3 linked regions of the Drosophila melanogaster genome follow. The protein of the gene in region 2 interacts with the protein of the main gene of each other region in a pairwise test. Each region holds a gene or a part of one and is shown on either strand. Other genes may lie near its edges.

Region 1 (5,910 bases), on a different chromosome or scaffold from region 2:
TTACGTGTTGCCAAGGTTTATTACGCCTACAGTGTCATATACTCATATATGAAAGAACCATTCACCACACATTCCCCAGTTAGCCTATTTAACGTAAGCCGCTTTATACTAAACGAAGTGGAGCACAAAGGTGTCCCCAAAGGTGTCAGCATGTTGTAAGTTAAGAGCTCAAATCGCAAAAGTAGAACGTGAATCGACAGAAATCCTATCTTCCAGTTCGGTTCTCTTCACTCTGGCCAAGCAAGCTAAGTTTTTGCAGGCCAACAAGTTATGCCTTCTTATTAACAAGAGACTGCAGTCGTTGAAGCCACCAGCTGGAGTCCAAGAGCAGATTGATGTGAGTGATGTGAAAACATTAATCATCCAAATGATATGCTTATGAAGTACCTTTTCAGCTAAATTTTCTAAATAGCAAGGCTTGCAAAAGTGGCTTCAATGATCCGGAGGAGCTTTTGCCACTATGTTACAAGTGCTCCAACTACAGTCAACATTTGAATAGCAATTGCTGTCCCACTTGCCGGCAGGATTATATTTTCTCTTTCGTTTCCTTCGGTATGGAATTTTGTCTATTAGCTTAGATATCTGATAATGATGATGCCTCTTTTTAGAAATTCTACCCCTAGTACAATTTTATCCAGAAGTGGATATCTCTGATGCCGAGGCGGAGCGCTTGCTGCTGGCTCCTGCAAAGCACGCCGAGGATTCGGATCCATTTAACGAGGATGTGGCCAGTGCATTGCCTTTGAGCTTGGATCGCAATGGCCTGCGTGCCATAGATCCCAATCATGTGCTGATTCTTAAACGGAGGGGAAAGAATGTGCGGAATGTGTACTATCGTAATATATTACCCGATCTTCAGGTTACCTATTGTCCTCAATGTCTGCTGGTAAGGTTATACAAACCACATCATTTCATTTCGTATATTAAGTAACCCTTTTTAGCTTTTCTATGCGGAGGACTTTGAGCTGCAAGTGCTGCAAAAAGGTCACTGTCCCTTTTGTCACACATCCTCCGAAAAGCTGATGGAAGACTTTTGAAATCGACATAAGAAGTGTGTGCAAATATATAATTTCCGTCCAAAACTGTACAAATAGGAACTATACGCAAATAAATACGGTGTTACGCCCAGGTTTCCTCCTGATATCGTCGCTGTTTTATCATTAGTTCCACGTAATCGGCATCGCCATCTAGTATCTCGATAAAGGCCTCTTTGACAGACTTTGGCATATTATTGGAGTTGCCAGCCACGTAGATATAGGCATTCAGGTCTTTTATAAGCCTCGCCAGATGAGCACCATTCTTGGCGATTAAATGCTGGACATAGACCTTCTGATCCTGATCCCTCGAGAAGGCAGTATGGGCCTCTACCTGTTTCGCATCGGTCCAGGTGGAGAAGTCATTTCCAAAGTGGAAATCGGCAGCTTTGTTCCGACAGCCAAAGAAAACAACCAAGGGACCAATTGTGGCACCTTTTGATTGAGCATACAATCGGTTTTGGATAATGCTACGGAATGGAGCGATGCCTGTGCCAGGTCCTACCATTATAAGTGGTATACTTAAGTCTTTTGGCCAGACCATGGTTCCTCTTTTGACAACTCCGCTCAACTCAGTACCCGATTTCAAAGTCTTCAGCCAGTTGGAGCATAAGCCCAGACGTGGAGTATGCATTATGGTTTTGTACTCCACAACGGCCACCAGCAAGTCCAAACTTAAGGCGGAAACATCCGAGGCAATGGAAAAACTGCGTGGCTGGATCAGTGGCATCATCTCAAAGAGCTGTTGCAGAGTTAAGCTAGAGGTGGCGTGCCGGAAATCCTCCAGAACCTCCAAAAGATTACGACGCGGCCTGTTCACATAAGCCACTAAGTCATCAATTCCCTCCGCGGAGGAGAATTCGAGCAGCTTTTCCTTTTCCATTTCATCGCAGCAATTCTGTGCTAGTACCTCGAGGAAACGTTGCCGTGGCTTAGCACTCAAGTCCCAAACGAATTTGGCGGCCTGGAGGAGGCTTAAGGGATTGGAATAGGCTATGGGAAGGGGCATATCCTGATGTGCACTGGATACCTCCACTATAGTGCTCTCATCGAAGTTCAGGCTGTGTTCGCGAATAAGGTCGAAGAATGTTTGGACAGCTTCATCGCTGTTTTGCGGCTGAACATCGAGTACATCGCCGGGTTCCCAGCTAAGATCTTCAGTCTGACACTGCAGCCTTAGGAAGCGTACATCCTGAAAGTGATCCACCGCCGTTGTTCTTTGGTTATCCAGAATTTTGAAAGAGTGGGCAGTTTGTTTTTGGCTCCAGAGCAGATTGTCCATCGGAGCAATTTGGGAATCCTTAGGCAGCTCCTTTACTGACCACTTTACAGTAGTTTGGTGGCTGTTGCTAAGTTTACTTTCGTCAAGACCAGAGATGCCTTTCAGAGCTGTCCACAAATCCTTTGTCCAGCTAAGGGATACACCCAAATGCCCGTAGTCATGCTGATCATCACACAGACCCACTGGACACACGCTATTTGCTCCCAGATTCTGTAGTCTCTTGCTCAGTTTCTTGGCGGCATAGTTAAACTTCGGATAGCTGGAGTCCCCGAGTCCAAGGCACGCGAACTGCATGCCTTGCAAGGATTGGGCGGGTAAGCTGCGCTTCAGGAGAAATCGCCAGGCCAGCTTCATGTTATCCGGCTCCACTCCGTCACCCGTAGTGGCCACCACAAAGACCACGAGGCGCTCCTCAATAAGTTTGGTCATATCGTACTCGTCGAAAGGCAGCACGGGTCCTTGGAAGCCCAGTTGATGCGACTCCCGCCAGATCTGTTCCGCCACATCCTGGGCGGTGCCGGTTTGACTCCCGTAGAGCACTAACAGCCGCATTTTCTACAATTCAGAATTTTCGAATAAAATTTACTGATTACCGTATTTCATATGTTACAATTTGCGCATAACAGCCTGGTCCTCAAACTTAACAGCACGCTGTTACGCTGCACTGTTATGTTATAGAAACTACGGGTGCCGAAATACCAAAATAATTGAAATTGAAATTAGTATTTCATTCATTCGTTTCTAGTAGCGTTGTAGCTCTTCTTCTTTTTCTTCGAATAGTGATGAACCTAAAAACATCGATAGTCTTAAATGTCGATGCATCGCCACCTCTAATAGAAACGCAATTAAACATATTGCATTGTTTTGCGTAAATAAAAGTAAGTTTCGCAGGCAATGGCCTCGAATCAGCAAATCAATACGCAGCTAAGCAAAAAGCTATCCTGGCTGTTGCGGCACGGTGCGAAAACGGAGGGAATCACGATCCGTGCTGATGGATTTGTTAGCGTTCCCGATTTGCAGAAGCACCCACGCTACTTGTGCTTCACCTTAGAAAAACTGAAGGAGATTGCCGCCGCGGATGCCAAGCAACGATATACTCTTCGCTGGAATCCAGAACTCGGAGTCCATGAGATTCGCGCCAATCAGGGACACTCATTGGCGGTGCTGGAAGGCGAAGCTGGCGGTCTCGAGAATATTACCCATGTGAGCCAGGTACCCCTGGCAGTTCATGGCACCTATTACAGACATTGGGGGGCAATTAGAAGCCAAGGGCTAAGTAGGATGAACCGCAACCATGTGCACTTTGCATGCAGCGATGAGACCAATTCCACTCTGAGTGGATTCCGCAGCGATTGCCAGATTTTGATATATCTAAACGTGGAAAAGGTGCTGGCGGACGGCATACCCATCTATCGATCCAGCAATAATGTACTGCTCTGTCCGGGAATTGAAGGCTTCATACATAGTTCCTACTTTCAGCGTGTAGTGGACAAGAAAACGGGGCAACCCTTACAAATTGATCATTGTTATTGAATAGAATAAACCTGGCCGTTAAGCAGTAATTAAAACGATTTTTTACAGAAATGCCGGCCCCTGCCTCGGAATCAACTTCTCCGCCTGGGGATGGTGACGGTAATCTTGTGCTTTGCATGGTATGCGCTGCTCCCTTCCGGAGTATGCAGGATTGCCTTGCCCACGAGCTGATCAAGCACGCCAGCAAGCCACAAAAGCAACTGCGACAGCGATTGAACGCCATTACCAAGCTATTTAACAGCGCACAAAGCCAATCCGAGCGTCAAGAGCTGCGGGAGGCTCTCGAATGGTCCGAGTCCGGCGGGCACTTGTGCACCGTATTGAATTTCTTTGCTTGTGATCTCGAAAATATGAAAACCTGCTTCGGGCACGTCCGGAACTGCATAGAGAAGGAGATGAGGGGCAGGGTTAGGGTGTTCCCCTTTGGTTCACTGGTTACGGGTTTAGCACTGAAGGGTAAGTGATCACCAGTACAAGAAAAGCACATAATCCGAATCCTTTTCCGCAGAGAGCGACATCGATTTGTTTCTGGAGCCCAACGGCAACCAGCCACCATTGTTCCATAATCAGCTATACAACAAGACCTCACACTTTTTACGAAGATCCAAATGCTTTGCGGATGTCTTCACCATTCGTCATGCCAGCGTGCCCATCATTAGATGTAAGCATCAGCTCACCGGACTCAACATAGACATCAATATGTCAAATCCGAATAGCATATATAACTCCCGATTTGTGGGCGAACTGATGTTTCGCAATGAGCGGATACGCGAGCTCTGCCTGTTTTTGAAAATTTGGGCCAAGAAGCTAAAATTGATTAGTCATGGCGGCATGACAAGCTATTGCTTAATATCCTTGATCATCGTTAACTTGCAAGTGAATCGACTAGTGCCCTCCGTCAAAGAGCTCCAGTCACTCTGTCCACCGGTTATTTTGTCGGGCGTTAACTATGCCTACAGCCTGGACCTAACGCCGCCGATCCCAGCACGGCTCACCACGCTGGATTTACTTAAAAACTTCTTCATATACTACTGCACTGTCAACTTTGACAAAAGTGTATTGAGTCCGTTTCTGGGCGGCTGTGTGGACAAGGAGACAACACTGGGCATGCCGGGAGGTTTTCCCGAGTACGATGAGCAACAAAAGCTCGTGCATGATGCAATAGGTGCGCCGCCAGACGCTTTCCAGCTGGATAGGGCCATGTGCGTACAGGATCCCTTCGAGCTCAGTCGCAACGTGGCCAAATCAGTGTCCATTTCAAATTTATGTTACTTTAGACAATGCCTAGTCCTGGCAGCTCAAGCGTGCAGCGATCAGGAACTAACTTCGCAACCAGAGAAGCTATACGACTACCTATTATTTGGCCTGGCGGATAAGTTAGTAGCCGACAAAATAGTGGCAGATAAAAGATCAGAAAGGGCTACGCCGCGAAAGCAACAAAAAATTGAAAACGCCCATGTGCAACCGCCAATCGTCGATGAGACACAAGAAACAAAAGTCGCCGAAGTCGGAGTTTGTGGGACACCGCCCTTAGTGCGATCACACGTCATCACGCCCACCACAAACGATGTCAAATGCCTGCGCTCCATTGTGCTGGTCAAGAACACGGAGAACGATCAGAGCATATATTACTACTGGTTGATCTGCTACGTGGACACTATAAAGGATGTGCTAACTCAACTGTATGCTTTGAATGTGGAACTTAAAGAATCGAAGGAGCCGAAACACTACAAGTGGCTAATCAGCATTTCTTACGACACTTGGACAGGACGCTCTTTCCAACGTGGCGCCGGTCAATCTTTCTTCGCCCACCAGTTGCAGCAGACGATTGAGTTTACGAAGACGAGAATGGGAAATCCGCAGTACGCAGTCAATTTGCGCGGCTATTTCACGCTGCAGGCCAGCGAGGATTACAAAGAGTTGCGCCTGGATGTGCAGCCTCTTCAAGGAGATCTCCTCGGACTGCAGCGCAATAGTCCGCTAACAAGGCTTTTTAAGGCGTTTAAGAATCTCCTGGGCAACTATAGTTTCAAAGAGAAGGTCAGCACCTGGAAGTTTTGC
Region 2 (6,191 bases):
GGGTGGAGACAGTCTGGGAACGCAGGCGATTGAACAGGGCTACATTGGTGCCGCTGGCTATGCACAGATCGGCATTCTTTAGCGACTGTTTCTTTTTGGACGGCTTGGATATAACCTTGATCCGTTTCGAGTTAAAAACGCCAATGTCATGACCGTTTCCGTAAAACATCTTCACCGACAGCATAAAGTGTTTTCGCTTGTCCGAGTCCGAGATGAAGAGCGTCTTGGCCGCACAGTACTGCTTGCCATTGAGATCCAGCTGCTGCATATCCTGGTCACTGCTCCCGATACCGATGAACGCGCATAGTTGTGCTCCCTGTTCGCCCTCGCCCTGCTGCAACATCTCCTCGTACCGCCGGCGCCAGCCACTTCCGAACAGATAAATGCACGGCGGTGGGCAAAAGAATCGCTTCTCATTGCCATAGGACTTTTGGGCCACCTGGAATTCACACAGACAGACAGACAGAGGCGCACGATGGTGCAGGGAAAATTCAATTAGTACAAATTGCCGTCCAGATTATCGGAAAATCATATCAAAACCGCAAGCAATGCAGCTTTGTTAATTTTCTGTAATTAATTTCAATTATTTTCATTGCGGACTGGACCGCGCTCGCGTTGCTCAATTTGCGGGCAGTCGAGTGTGAAGGATTCCCATTTGGCGGCAGTCGTCGCTTGAAGATCGCCACCGCTAAAAGCAACCGCGACAATTTTATTCCATTTTCATGTCTGCGTTCGCCAAAAACCGCAAAAATGTAACACTTTAAAGTGGACAATGGAAACACTAGCACCTTTAAATAGTGGGTGTGGTTTTGGCGTTGCGGACTGACCGATTAGATTAAAACTAAATTATAAAAAAAAAATAAATATCTTGTAAAGCATACAAGTAATTTTCAAAGAAAGGATACATCGTTAAACTTGAAATAGAAAGAAAATCTGAATTTAATCTATTTAATCTAAAAAATCGAATAATTTAGGAAATCGACGTACAAAACTGACCAAGTTTCTAATTTAAATGAAAGTTAGGATATCCTACGTTTCTCCAGTTTGGGTTAATATATTTTTAGTAATATTGAAATAATGTATTTCAAGCTTCAAATAATTTAATTAAGACTTAAGACTCAGGAGTTCCCTTGTATGTTTTAGAATATCTTGAATACTAAATCCAGACCAAGCACCTGATAATACCGGCTTAAAAGTGGAAATCCTTTCGTACCTTGGCGTGCAGGATAACGATGACCATGTCGTTGCGCTCGCGCATGTACTTCTCCATGGCGTCCCGCGTGAGCTTCTTCTCCTCGATGTGTGGCCGGTAAGGACCCGGCAGCAAGGACATCTGCATTTGTTGTTGATGCTGCTGTTGTTGTTGTTGTTGTTGCTGCTGCTGCTGCTGTTGGTGGTGCACTTGCAATTGTTGTTGCTGCTGCTGCGACGACGGCGGCTGCGGACCGGGCAGTCCAAAGTGCGGCATATCCTGGCTCTGTTGTTGCTGCTGCTGGTGAGGATCGAGGGGTGAGCCGTTGGGATTTACAACCGTAGTTTCGTAGGCAATGGCGGGCGGGGCGGCGGCGTTTAAATTAAATTGGCTGTAGCTCTTCATTTATGCACATGTCTCCTTGCATTGAACTTATTGGAATTTTGTTTGGATCTTTTCTATTATTTCGTTTTTGGCTATTTGGCAAATTCGTTTGGCACTTTATACACTGTTCGCTGGTGCTGTTTTTGTTGTTGTTGTTGCTGCTGTATGTTTTCTATTTTGTTATCCTGCTGCACAAACACACACGCAGAGCAGCTGTCGTTTCTCTCACGCACTCTCTTCCTCTTAACCGCGGATTGGCTTTGTTGTTGTAGCTCAAGCTGGATTTGCGGCTAGCTGCGATTCACGACTAATCACACATATTTCAGCGTTTCGAGCAGATCTTGACTAGCGACTAGCGGTAGTGGCGGCTGGCTTCTGTTTAAGGCTGCAACTAGCGCTCGAGTTATATTTATAATATGCTACAACTAAAAAAGCGACTGAGGATGTTGATGTTGTATCGATAGTCCGATAGGCGCTTATTTATGATAGTCGCTGCCTACCGGCGATATGTTTGTCGCTTCACAGCACTGTTGGTTGGATTTGGATGGCAGTGGGCATTTGGTTATTTTATAGCCAATTTGGAGTAGCTAATATATTTTGTTTTAACTTTGCAGTTTCTGAATACATTTGTATATTTATTCCCATCACATCACTGTTAAAGATATTATTTCTTATATCTATAAATACTTTTAACTGATGCGAAAGGTATCGATTTTCATTGAACACTTCGATTTTGAGCGCCCACATTTAAAATTCAAGGTACAAACTACCAACCTTCTTGTCTAACTGTCCATGCATTTTTAAAACGGGCCGTGGGAAAGTACACATGGGTGAATTTAAAAGATAATTCGCGACTTTAGGCTTAAATGTAACCGTTTAAATAGGTTTAGTGGCAGAAACACACAATATGCAACTAAAAGCTGTTAATTATGTATCAGAATGTAAGCTGTAACTCATTAAAAAACGAATCTGGTGGAGTACACTTAGTTATTCATATATTTTAGCAGTCACAGTGTAAAGTGGAAAAATCTACAATCACTGAATATCATTTGCAATCCGATAGGCAGGTACAATCGATATCACCGCTCGATTTTCGGTGCATTGCCATATCTAACTTGTGAAATCAAAAATCGGTTCCGTTCGGTGCTTGAACTTTTGAGATATTCTAGAAACACATCCACAATGGAGAACTTTAAGGGTCTACAAAAATCCCTATACATATGGACGGACAGCGCCGACTTGGACAAGCGCGTGGAGCAACTAAAGGCGGCCACTGGCGGCGATGTGGCTTTGGAAAATGTGCACCGCCTTTCGTTTTGTAAGTTGCGTGCGGTGCGGTGTGTGTGTGCTGTTTTTGACTAGCCAGTGAGTCAGCAGATTAAAATCAGTGATGTTTATGCATTACAGCTTCCTATGCCAACTCCAGTTTCGACCTGATTGTGATCGAGTGCGCCCAGCTGACCGACAGTTACGTAAAACTGCTGCACATGCTGAAACCGAGTGGCAAACTGCATTTGGTGTCCTACATCGGTCCGGCGGCTAGTTTGCTGCAGGAGATCAAGCTATCCGGATTCATAAACTGTCGCGAGGACTCTCCAGATGCTTTGACCGCCGAGAAGCCTGGCTACGAGACAGGATCCTCAGCCAGGTTGTCATTCGCAAAGAAGAACGCCAGTGCAGTCAATGTGTGGAAGATAAGCGGTGACGATGAGGAACTGATCGATGAGGAGGAGCTGCTGGACGAGGAAGACAAACAGAAGCCGGATCCGGCTGGTCTGCGTGTCTGTAGCACCACGGGCAAGCGCAAGGCGTGCAAAAACTGCTCCTGCGGGCTGGCCGAGGAATTGGAGACTGAAAAACAGAGCCAGAAGGCCACCGAGAATGCCAAGTCAAGCTGTGGAAATGTGAGTTCTCTTAACCCCGATGTGAGTTAGCATTAACCTCGATTATAACTGATTTCTTATATGCACAGTGTTATCTCGGCGACGCCTTCCGCTGCTCCACTTGCCCCTATTTGGGCATGCCCGCCTTTAAGCCCGGTGAGAAGGTGCAACTGGCCGACAACCTCCTGAAATCCGACATTTAACTTAGGCTCACCATGGTATACCCAATCAATCACATTTCAAATAGTTTATTAAGCTGACTTACTAACAAACAATAATGTCATAATGTAAATACAAAAATGCACCGCGTCATAAACACAGCATGTAGATTTAAATATCCAAGTGATCACATTTCGCATGGTGTACCCTTGATGAGATCGCGGTTCTGGCCCATCAAAATACGATAGTTGACGGCCGAGGGATCGAGTTCCTTGTACAAATATGTCGGCATCTTGTCGGACAGCACCCAAATAGTGCCTTCATTGTCGATTTTCATGTCATTTGGAAAGACCAGAGTGTGCGAATCGGAATCGATTAGCCCCTGGGTGTCCGGAGTGTATGGACGCTTGATGTTCCAACAAGCAATGGCGTCTTTGTTCACCTGCGTATAGAAGATGACGCCGGTCTCGGGGTCAAAGACCTCGGCGGTGGACTGGCCATTCATGCCACGGTCACCAACGTATTTAAAATCGTAATACGAATCGCCAGCGGTCACGTGTGATTCGTTTTGCAGCACGCGGTTCGAAACCTTGAACTCCTTGGTACTGGCCAGGGCATGGAAATAAATGTCCTTGGAGTGATCTGGATTCATTGGGCCCACGGCCAGCCCAAAAACGCCATCCGTCCACTGGAAGTTCACGCCGCCCACATTGAAATCACCATGCAGAGGATCGAAGTGGAAGAAGTTGTGCTTGACGCGGTAGGATTTGTCGTTCCTCAGGGAGTACACAATCACACCGTAGGCACCCAAATCCGGAATGTAAGCAAAGGCATCTTGGCACTCCGAGCGGTCCGCATCCACAACCTAAATATTGATTAATTCGATCAGTTTGGAATTTAAATAATACGCCTATGCATACTCACAATATTCGCAAAGAACGAGTCCTCTTTGGTCTGATCAGCGGGAATGGTGAAACGGCGCAGTAAAGTATCTGTTTTCAAGTCGAAAACCAGGATTGAATTGGGCGTAATCTGCTTGGGACTGCCCAGGATGTCGGCCAAGCCAGTATCGAGCACCCACAGGCGATCGCATACGTCGACTTGAATTCGGAAGGTGGAAATGACAGTGGAGTTGTCCTTCAGCTGGATGCCGGCATCTTGAGCCTTGTCCGCGTCCAGACGTCCACCGGATGGTGTCTTTTGGTCCTGTGGCTGCACATCGATGGGCAGCTTGTTGGCCTCCCAACTGGGATACGGATGCAGCTTTGGCGACTTCTCCGTCGAATTAATGTCGATGTAGTTGAGTGTGGCAGCAACACCAGCCTTCCATCTAAAGGGAAAGTAGATCATTTAATAATGAGGAGAAATAAATTAACTAAAAAATTTACATTTCAGACTTGTTTAGTTACTAATTACATTTAAACCTGACACTGGCAAGTAACAAATTAATAACATTAAAAAGTACCATTCACCTGCGCAATTATTATGACTGATTGGATATAGTCTAATATAAGCTATAGTTTTAATTTATATCTTAGCACTATCAGTTAAAACTTTGACGGCAACTATAGCTTAAATAATTATGCTGTATTATCAACAAAATATACTTTTTTTACGTATCTTATTTTTCGAAATGTTTTTAAATCGAATTTTGTTTTGATTACTCATATCTCCCGAAAAGCAGAATGGTTTTCGGGGCTTTTTGGCCAATAAGCGCATCGGTGGTAAATCCCAAAAAGGTGACGTCACAAAGACTTTGTTTACTAGTTACCTAGTTAGCCTTTTATGGGATCCATAATATTCCATAGAATTTTCCGATCATGTGTTTTCTCTTATTAATTTATAATTAACCTCATGTTACGATTTGCATTTAGAAACCACGATTTAAAATGCAAAATAGACATACACAAATGGGGTAAAAAATGATAAAGTTAACTAGCCAGCGAGGAAACCGGTTTCCCCTCCTGACGCTCGATGATTTTGCAAGTCTAGCTTGACATTTAATTACAAACCAAGCCAACAAAAAAGGTAAATAATAAGAAAAAAAAAGAAAACCTAACTACAGCTTACCGTAAGTTTGTTGTCTCTTTTTTTTTTGTCTATGAATTTGGTTACTTACCTTGGCACAGTGACAAAGATTCTGTTTTGCCAACGCTCCACGCCCAGCGGCAGGTTGTTCTCCACGATGTAGTGGCCATTCGACTTGGCCTCCGCCTCGGCCTCCGGAGTGGGCCAATCGAAGGCCAGTTGCTTCCACGAGAACTTCTCCTCCAGCTTGGCCGATGCAATCCGGCTGAAGGCGCCGATAAGGCACACCATTAAGCCCAGGCTCAACATTCCTAGTGGGTTCATTTTGGATTTTTCAATTATTCGATTTTTTTTGGATTGCTCGTTTCTTTTTTTTTGGACCTCCGTTCAGTTCGAGTTGAGCGCGCTAACTGCAAGAGCTTAGTTTGGAATCGGGCTTAATATGCTGGCTTGGATCCCAAACAAGCGGAGCTTTAAGCTCACAGTACACAGATATTCGATCCCGTGGAGTTATAAACTGTTATACCAAGTGCCCAGCTGCAAGT
Region 3 (4,940 bases), 1.7 Mb from region 2:
CAGCCAATCGGGCAAGGCGCATCTGGGCCAGCTGCTTCATTACGCCCAATGTTTCTAATTCCTGCTTGGAGTCTATTATACTCTTGTCCAAATACTTGAGGAAAAAGACACGTTTATCCTCATCGTCGACCGTTTTGTTCTTGACTGCATCGCGCATTCTGGCCATATACTCGTCAATCTCCTTCATCCGGCGATACTGGGCTATTTTGTCGTTTCTATTGAAGGCTGCCTCTACCAGCTCGCGCTGCTCGCTTTTTTCCGCTTGGCTATCCGCCTTAGCCACCTGAGATTTGGGCGCTGCACAGAGATCATACTCCTGGCAACGCTGCAGGTGGTCCTTGAAGTAAATCTCGCCCAGCTCTATGGAGTGTGTGTTATTGGGGCTGTTGATCTTAGTGGTAAGCTTGCCCAGAAAGTAAGGGAGCAGCATGAATGGTAGCGATTCCGTGGACACCTCGTCGATCAACTCGTTGGCACTGAACATGCTAACCTGGTTCACAATGACGGTGGCCTGCTCGAAAAGGCCCATTGCAGTCTTCACTTTGTTCTAAACGTTGTGGTAAACGTTCAATGCTGGTTTTTATTACATATATATGAAGATCTTCAATATTACACACCTGAAATTCGCTGCCATTGAAGGGCAGTTCGGTAACTTCTAGCTCGTCGAATATGTTCCAGCCCTTTAGAAAGATGTCCGTCAGCTTTTGGTCCTCTCCGCCAGCGGTATTACCCTCAGCCATTTAAAGATTTGGATATAAGTTTATAGTTAATGGGTATTTTCAATAATATAAATAATATTGCGAAAATAATGTGCAAGATGCCGACGCCGAAACAGCTGTTTACAAAATGAAGGTACGCAAAATACCAGATAAACCAGGGCTGGTGTATAAAAAAGTTCTTACAAATTTCTAGCTATATTTATGTCGTTAAGTTTGTAAACATTTATGGTGACACCATTGAAGCCCGTGTAAGATGTCTTATGGATGACCTATAGCACATTTGCTTTAATACAATTGTTATTAAAAATTTCGATGAATAAAATAATACCAGAATGTAGCAAAAATCCTTTATTAAACCATTAAAAAGTCTAAGGATCTAGCTAAAAATTTGTTTCTGGTTTATGGTGTCTGTAGGAGTAGATGCAATCCGATGGAATTAGCCCTTTAGCGTGGACTCGAGCTCATTGTTCGCCAGCAGTTCCTTAATAATATCGAGTCCGCCGATAAGTTCACCCTTGACGTAAACCTGGGGATATGTGGGCCAGTCGGAGTAGGTTTTCAGGCCTTGACGCACTTCTTCGTCGCCGAGGATGTCAAATGTCTCGTACGGCAAGCTATCGAAGGATATTTTCGTTTATAACTTGAAATCAAATACAACTGATGATCAATTTGCATACTTGGTTTCGTTCACAATGCCGATGAGCTGCTTGGAGAATCCGCAACGCGGTCCATTTCGGTCGCCCTTCATGAATATCATCAGCGGAGCTGTATTGATTAGGGCCTTTAGGCGTTCCTCCAACGTTTGTCCTGTTGCCGCCGCGCTGCTTGCGTTTTCGGCCAACTTTTTGGATTTGGCGCTTATGGCGGCGATGTCTACACCATCGACACGGTCAACGGCGGAGCCCTTGGCGAAGAATATGACTGTGGGCACGGCCTCGATCTGGTGGCATCGCAAATGAATGAGGAACTACTGTTATATTTTCATAAAATAAATACGAGCGTACCTGATGTTTCATGGAAATCTCGGGAAATTGTTCAGCGTTTAGGCTGATGAACTGCAGTTTTTCGCCAGTAATCTTGGCCAGCTCCTCCAGCGCGTCTTTCACCTGACCGCATTGCTCTGCCCATTCGGCGGCGAATAGAGCTACGGTCGTCTTATCCGCATTAATGTACTTCTGGTACTCCTCGGCAGCCGACACGTTCACCACGGGCATGATTTCTTTGAATTATTTAACTAAATTTGCTGGACAAGCAAAATTTACAAAAAGCAGACCGAATTATCAGCTGTGGAAGAGAGTTGCCACTTTCCGTAAAGAAGTCAGCGCTGGTAGCTATAAAATAACAACCTATAAATGGCTAAAAATATATAAAATTGTATTAAAATGTATAAAGCAAGCGTTTCATGAAGTATCAAAACTAGCAATTTAAATATTCTTTTTATTATTCTTTTTTTCTTTATTTTATTCTTTGAAAATTATTTCATTAGCTTGAGTTTTTGTTGTCATTTTCAGTACAGCTCATGCATTTAGAGCTGTTGGACGAAATTTGGAGAAAATGTCGTTTCAACATCTGGCAACATCGAACGGCAACACGTGCGGTCGTGCCGTACCGTATTCAATATACACAGCTCACTTATTTTTCGCAACTAAAAGTTGAATTAGCCGGATAATGGTGACGCGCAAGAAGCCAGTTAAGCGCAACGCCGAGGCGGCCGAAATCCAGGTCGAGCAGGAGGAGGACGCTTCACAGCCGAAGGTGGCCAAGGAGCTGATGGTGGTCGCCCAGGAGGTGAAAATTATACGTGCTCTTGCCTGCAACGATGTGGTGGAGCGTAATCGCCAGATCCGCATTTTGCGCAAGTGGTTCAAGGCGCGTGCCGGTAGCTCCTTTCCCTTCAACGAGGACGACTTCATGCGCATCTGGAAGGGATTGTACTACACCATGTGGATGTCGGATAAGCCGCTGGTGCAGGAGGAGCTGGCCGAGAAGTTGGCTCAAATGGTGGACAGCTTCGGCGGTAATACGGCCTGCAGTCTGGCCTACTTTAGTGCGTTTATGCGCACAATGTGCCAGGAGTACTTTGGCATAGATCAGTGGCGCATGGACAAATTCCTGATGCTCACCCGCCGCATGGTGCGTTATCTACTGAGATTCCTCAAACAGAACAACTGGAATGCGGACCTGATAGCCGCATTCAACAGCAGCATGCAGCTTTCTGTGATGTCGGAGCAGCCTAAGTCTCGCGGCATGACCATGCACTACCTAGATGTTTTCTTTGAGGAGCTGGCCAAGGCGGCCAATGGTGAGATCACTGCTGCTCAGGTTAATATGTTCTTGCGTCCGTTTGTCACCTACATTGCTACACAACGCGATGCTAAGCTAGTGGCACAGTGCCGCACAAGGGTACTCTATCATCTGATGTACCAGAGCGACTTAGGACGACAGTACAGCGAAAAGTACAATGCCTGGAAGCAGATGGGTTTCCCCACCGCCTCCATTGATGACATTGAGAAACTAGATTCTGGATTTGACGAGGAGGATGACGAGGTCAACGCCGAGGAGGAGCAGCCGCGGGCCACATCCTTGGATCCCCGAGCGGGCAACGTGGACGTTCACATGCCGGAGCTGCCGCTCAACGCTGATTGCGTACTAGATGAGCTGCAGACGCAGCTACGCACCAACGATTTTAACAGCAAGAGACGCAAGGGATTGCGCAAACTTATCCAGATCTTTGAGACTTACCAGAGAGGAGAGTTTCCACTTGGCGTGAGGACAATGCCAAAGGTGGAGGGACAAACTCTGTCCGAAATGGTGGAGCAAAAAGTGGCTGCCTTAGATAAGATGGAGGACGAGGTCTTTGCAACCGGAAGAAAACTGAAGAAGCTCAACAAATCCAAACGCAAACGCCTACTGCAGTCCATTAACTTTGAGGAGGTGGACGAGCACAACTACGATGAGGTTATTAGCAAGGCTCTGCCTCCTGAGCTGCAGAAGAAGGTGAATTACAATGCAAAGGTGCGTTCTAGCATAAACAACGCATGGGTAGTAGAGGAGGTCAAGGAGGCCGAGCCCAAGTCGAAGAAAGCAAAAAAGGAAGAACCGCCACAGCAGAACAAAGATGACCAGACGAAGGTGAAGAAGAAAAGCCAGCTTAAGCCGAAGAATGACCAGTCCAAGCCCAAGATAGAGGATCAACCGACCTTGAAGGCAGAAAAAGAAGAGCCTGCGAAGCGCAAGAAATTGGACCACTCCAAGACGAAGGAGGAGCAGTCGAAGCCGAAGACAGACGAGCAGCCCAAGCCCACACCTAAGGTGGAGGGACAGTCCAAGGCCAAGCCGACTCCCAAAACGAAGGCTGCCGGTGTTGATGATGATGCTCCGACCAACGGATGGGATGCCCCTTTAGAGGACGGTGAGCAGGACATCTTTGTTCCCTCTCGAAAACTGCAAGTGAAGCAGGCCAACAGTAAGCTGCCGCAGTCCACACCCAAACAGCCTGCGCGCGCAGAGTTTGCGACTCCACAAACGGGCAGTGGCAAGCATGTGCGGATCGTGACTAAGAGCAACTGCATCTACCCCAAGAGCGATTACTACCGCCAGCTGAAGCTGTCTCCGCAGGTGCCCTACGACGCGAATCGGTTGCCCGGTAAGAGTGCCCTTAAGCCACACTGGATACCGGGACCGATTCATCCGAGCTACAAGGCCAAGCGCTTGTTCAACGACACTCTGTGACAAAGCGTCTAGTGGCAGCGACTGGGATTGGGACAGGATGAGGAAGATTAATTTGGACTTAGTGCTCTGAGGGACGATGAAGAAGGGGGAGCGCTTCGCATCATACTACTTCCTTATAAGGCAGTATAAGATAACACATCCACAATAGGCATGTCTTATGCTGGTTTTATAATACGTCTATACACACGAAAGTTTCCATGCTATATTTTTCTATTTTACAATGTTAAAGCCCTTTTGTTTAGTTTCGAGAGCACCGTTACTATGCTTAAATATTTCAATTTTCTAGAATAGTTGAAATTTACGATAGTTCCGTGTTGCCTTGACTAATTTCTACTCAAATAAAATCCGTATAAGACATGTACTAAATGTAATCCCCTAATCTTTTAGTAGTTACAATTACGACTTAAAATACTATTGCTTGTAGGCCATTTTATGTTCAAGCTATCCTCTGATCTGAGTTGAAATAAAAGCAAACGTAGTATATGTAAA

The links.
Region 1: the proteins of CIAPIN1 (region 2) and CG13667 interact in a two-hybrid assay, tested with the Drosophila melanogaster proteins (one large-scale study listed by BioGRID).
Region 3: the proteins of CIAPIN1 (region 2) and Grx3 interact in a two-hybrid assay, tested with the Drosophila melanogaster proteins (one large-scale study listed by BioGRID).

The regions. Positions count from the first base shown.
Region 1 is NT_037436.4:8,402,498-8,408,407, reverse strand, and holds CG13667 (uncharacterized protein), read right to left. Parts: upstream 2,955-5,910; 5' UTR 2,927-2,954; exon of another isoform or gene 2,872-2,926; 5' UTR 2,869-2,871; coding exon 1,120-2,868; 3' UTR 1,054-1,119; downstream 1-1,053. Other genes in the region: Oseg1 (outer segment 1), read left to right, coding at 1-155, 217-337, 396-552, 609-886, 942-1,037; Tpt (tRNA 2'-phosphotransferase), read left to right, coding at 3,211-3,849; mkg-p (monkey king protein), read left to right, coding at 3,900-4,305, 4,358-5,910.
Region 2 is NT_033779.5:15,035,343-15,041,533, reverse strand, and holds CIAPIN1 (cytokine induced apoptosis inhibitor 1), read left to right. Parts: upstream 1-2,672; 5' UTR 2,673-2,758; coding exon 2,759-2,894; intron 2,895-2,983; coding exon 2,984-3,480; intron 3,481-3,548; coding exon 3,549-3,662; 3' UTR 3,663-3,805; coding exon of another isoform or gene 3,806-4,483; 3' UTR 4,484-4,542; coding exon of another isoform or gene 4,543-4,948; 3' UTR 4,949-4,959; intron 4,960-5,013; 3' UTR 5,014-5,241; downstream 5,242-6,191. Other genes in the region: Su(H) (suppressor of hairless), read right to left, coding at 1-439, 1,214-1,597; yellow-c, read right to left, coding at 3,806-4,483, 4,543-4,948, 5,738-5,970. UniProt on the Drosophila melanogaster protein: Component of the cytosolic iron-sulfur (Fe-S) protein assembly (CIA) machinery. Required for the maturation of extramitochondrial Fe-S proteins.
Region 3 is NT_033779.5:13,363,524-13,368,463, reverse strand, and holds Grx3 (glutaredoxin 3), read right to left. Parts: upstream 2,018-4,940; 5' UTR 1,934-2,017; coding exon 1,724-1,933; intron 1,660-1,723; coding exon 1,397-1,659; intron 1,334-1,396; coding exon 1,156-1,333; 3' UTR 1,054-1,155; downstream 1-1,053. Other genes in the region: Tap42 (Two A-associated protein of 42kDa), read right to left, coding at 1-547, 618-740; Nnp-1, read left to right, coding at 2,388-4,451.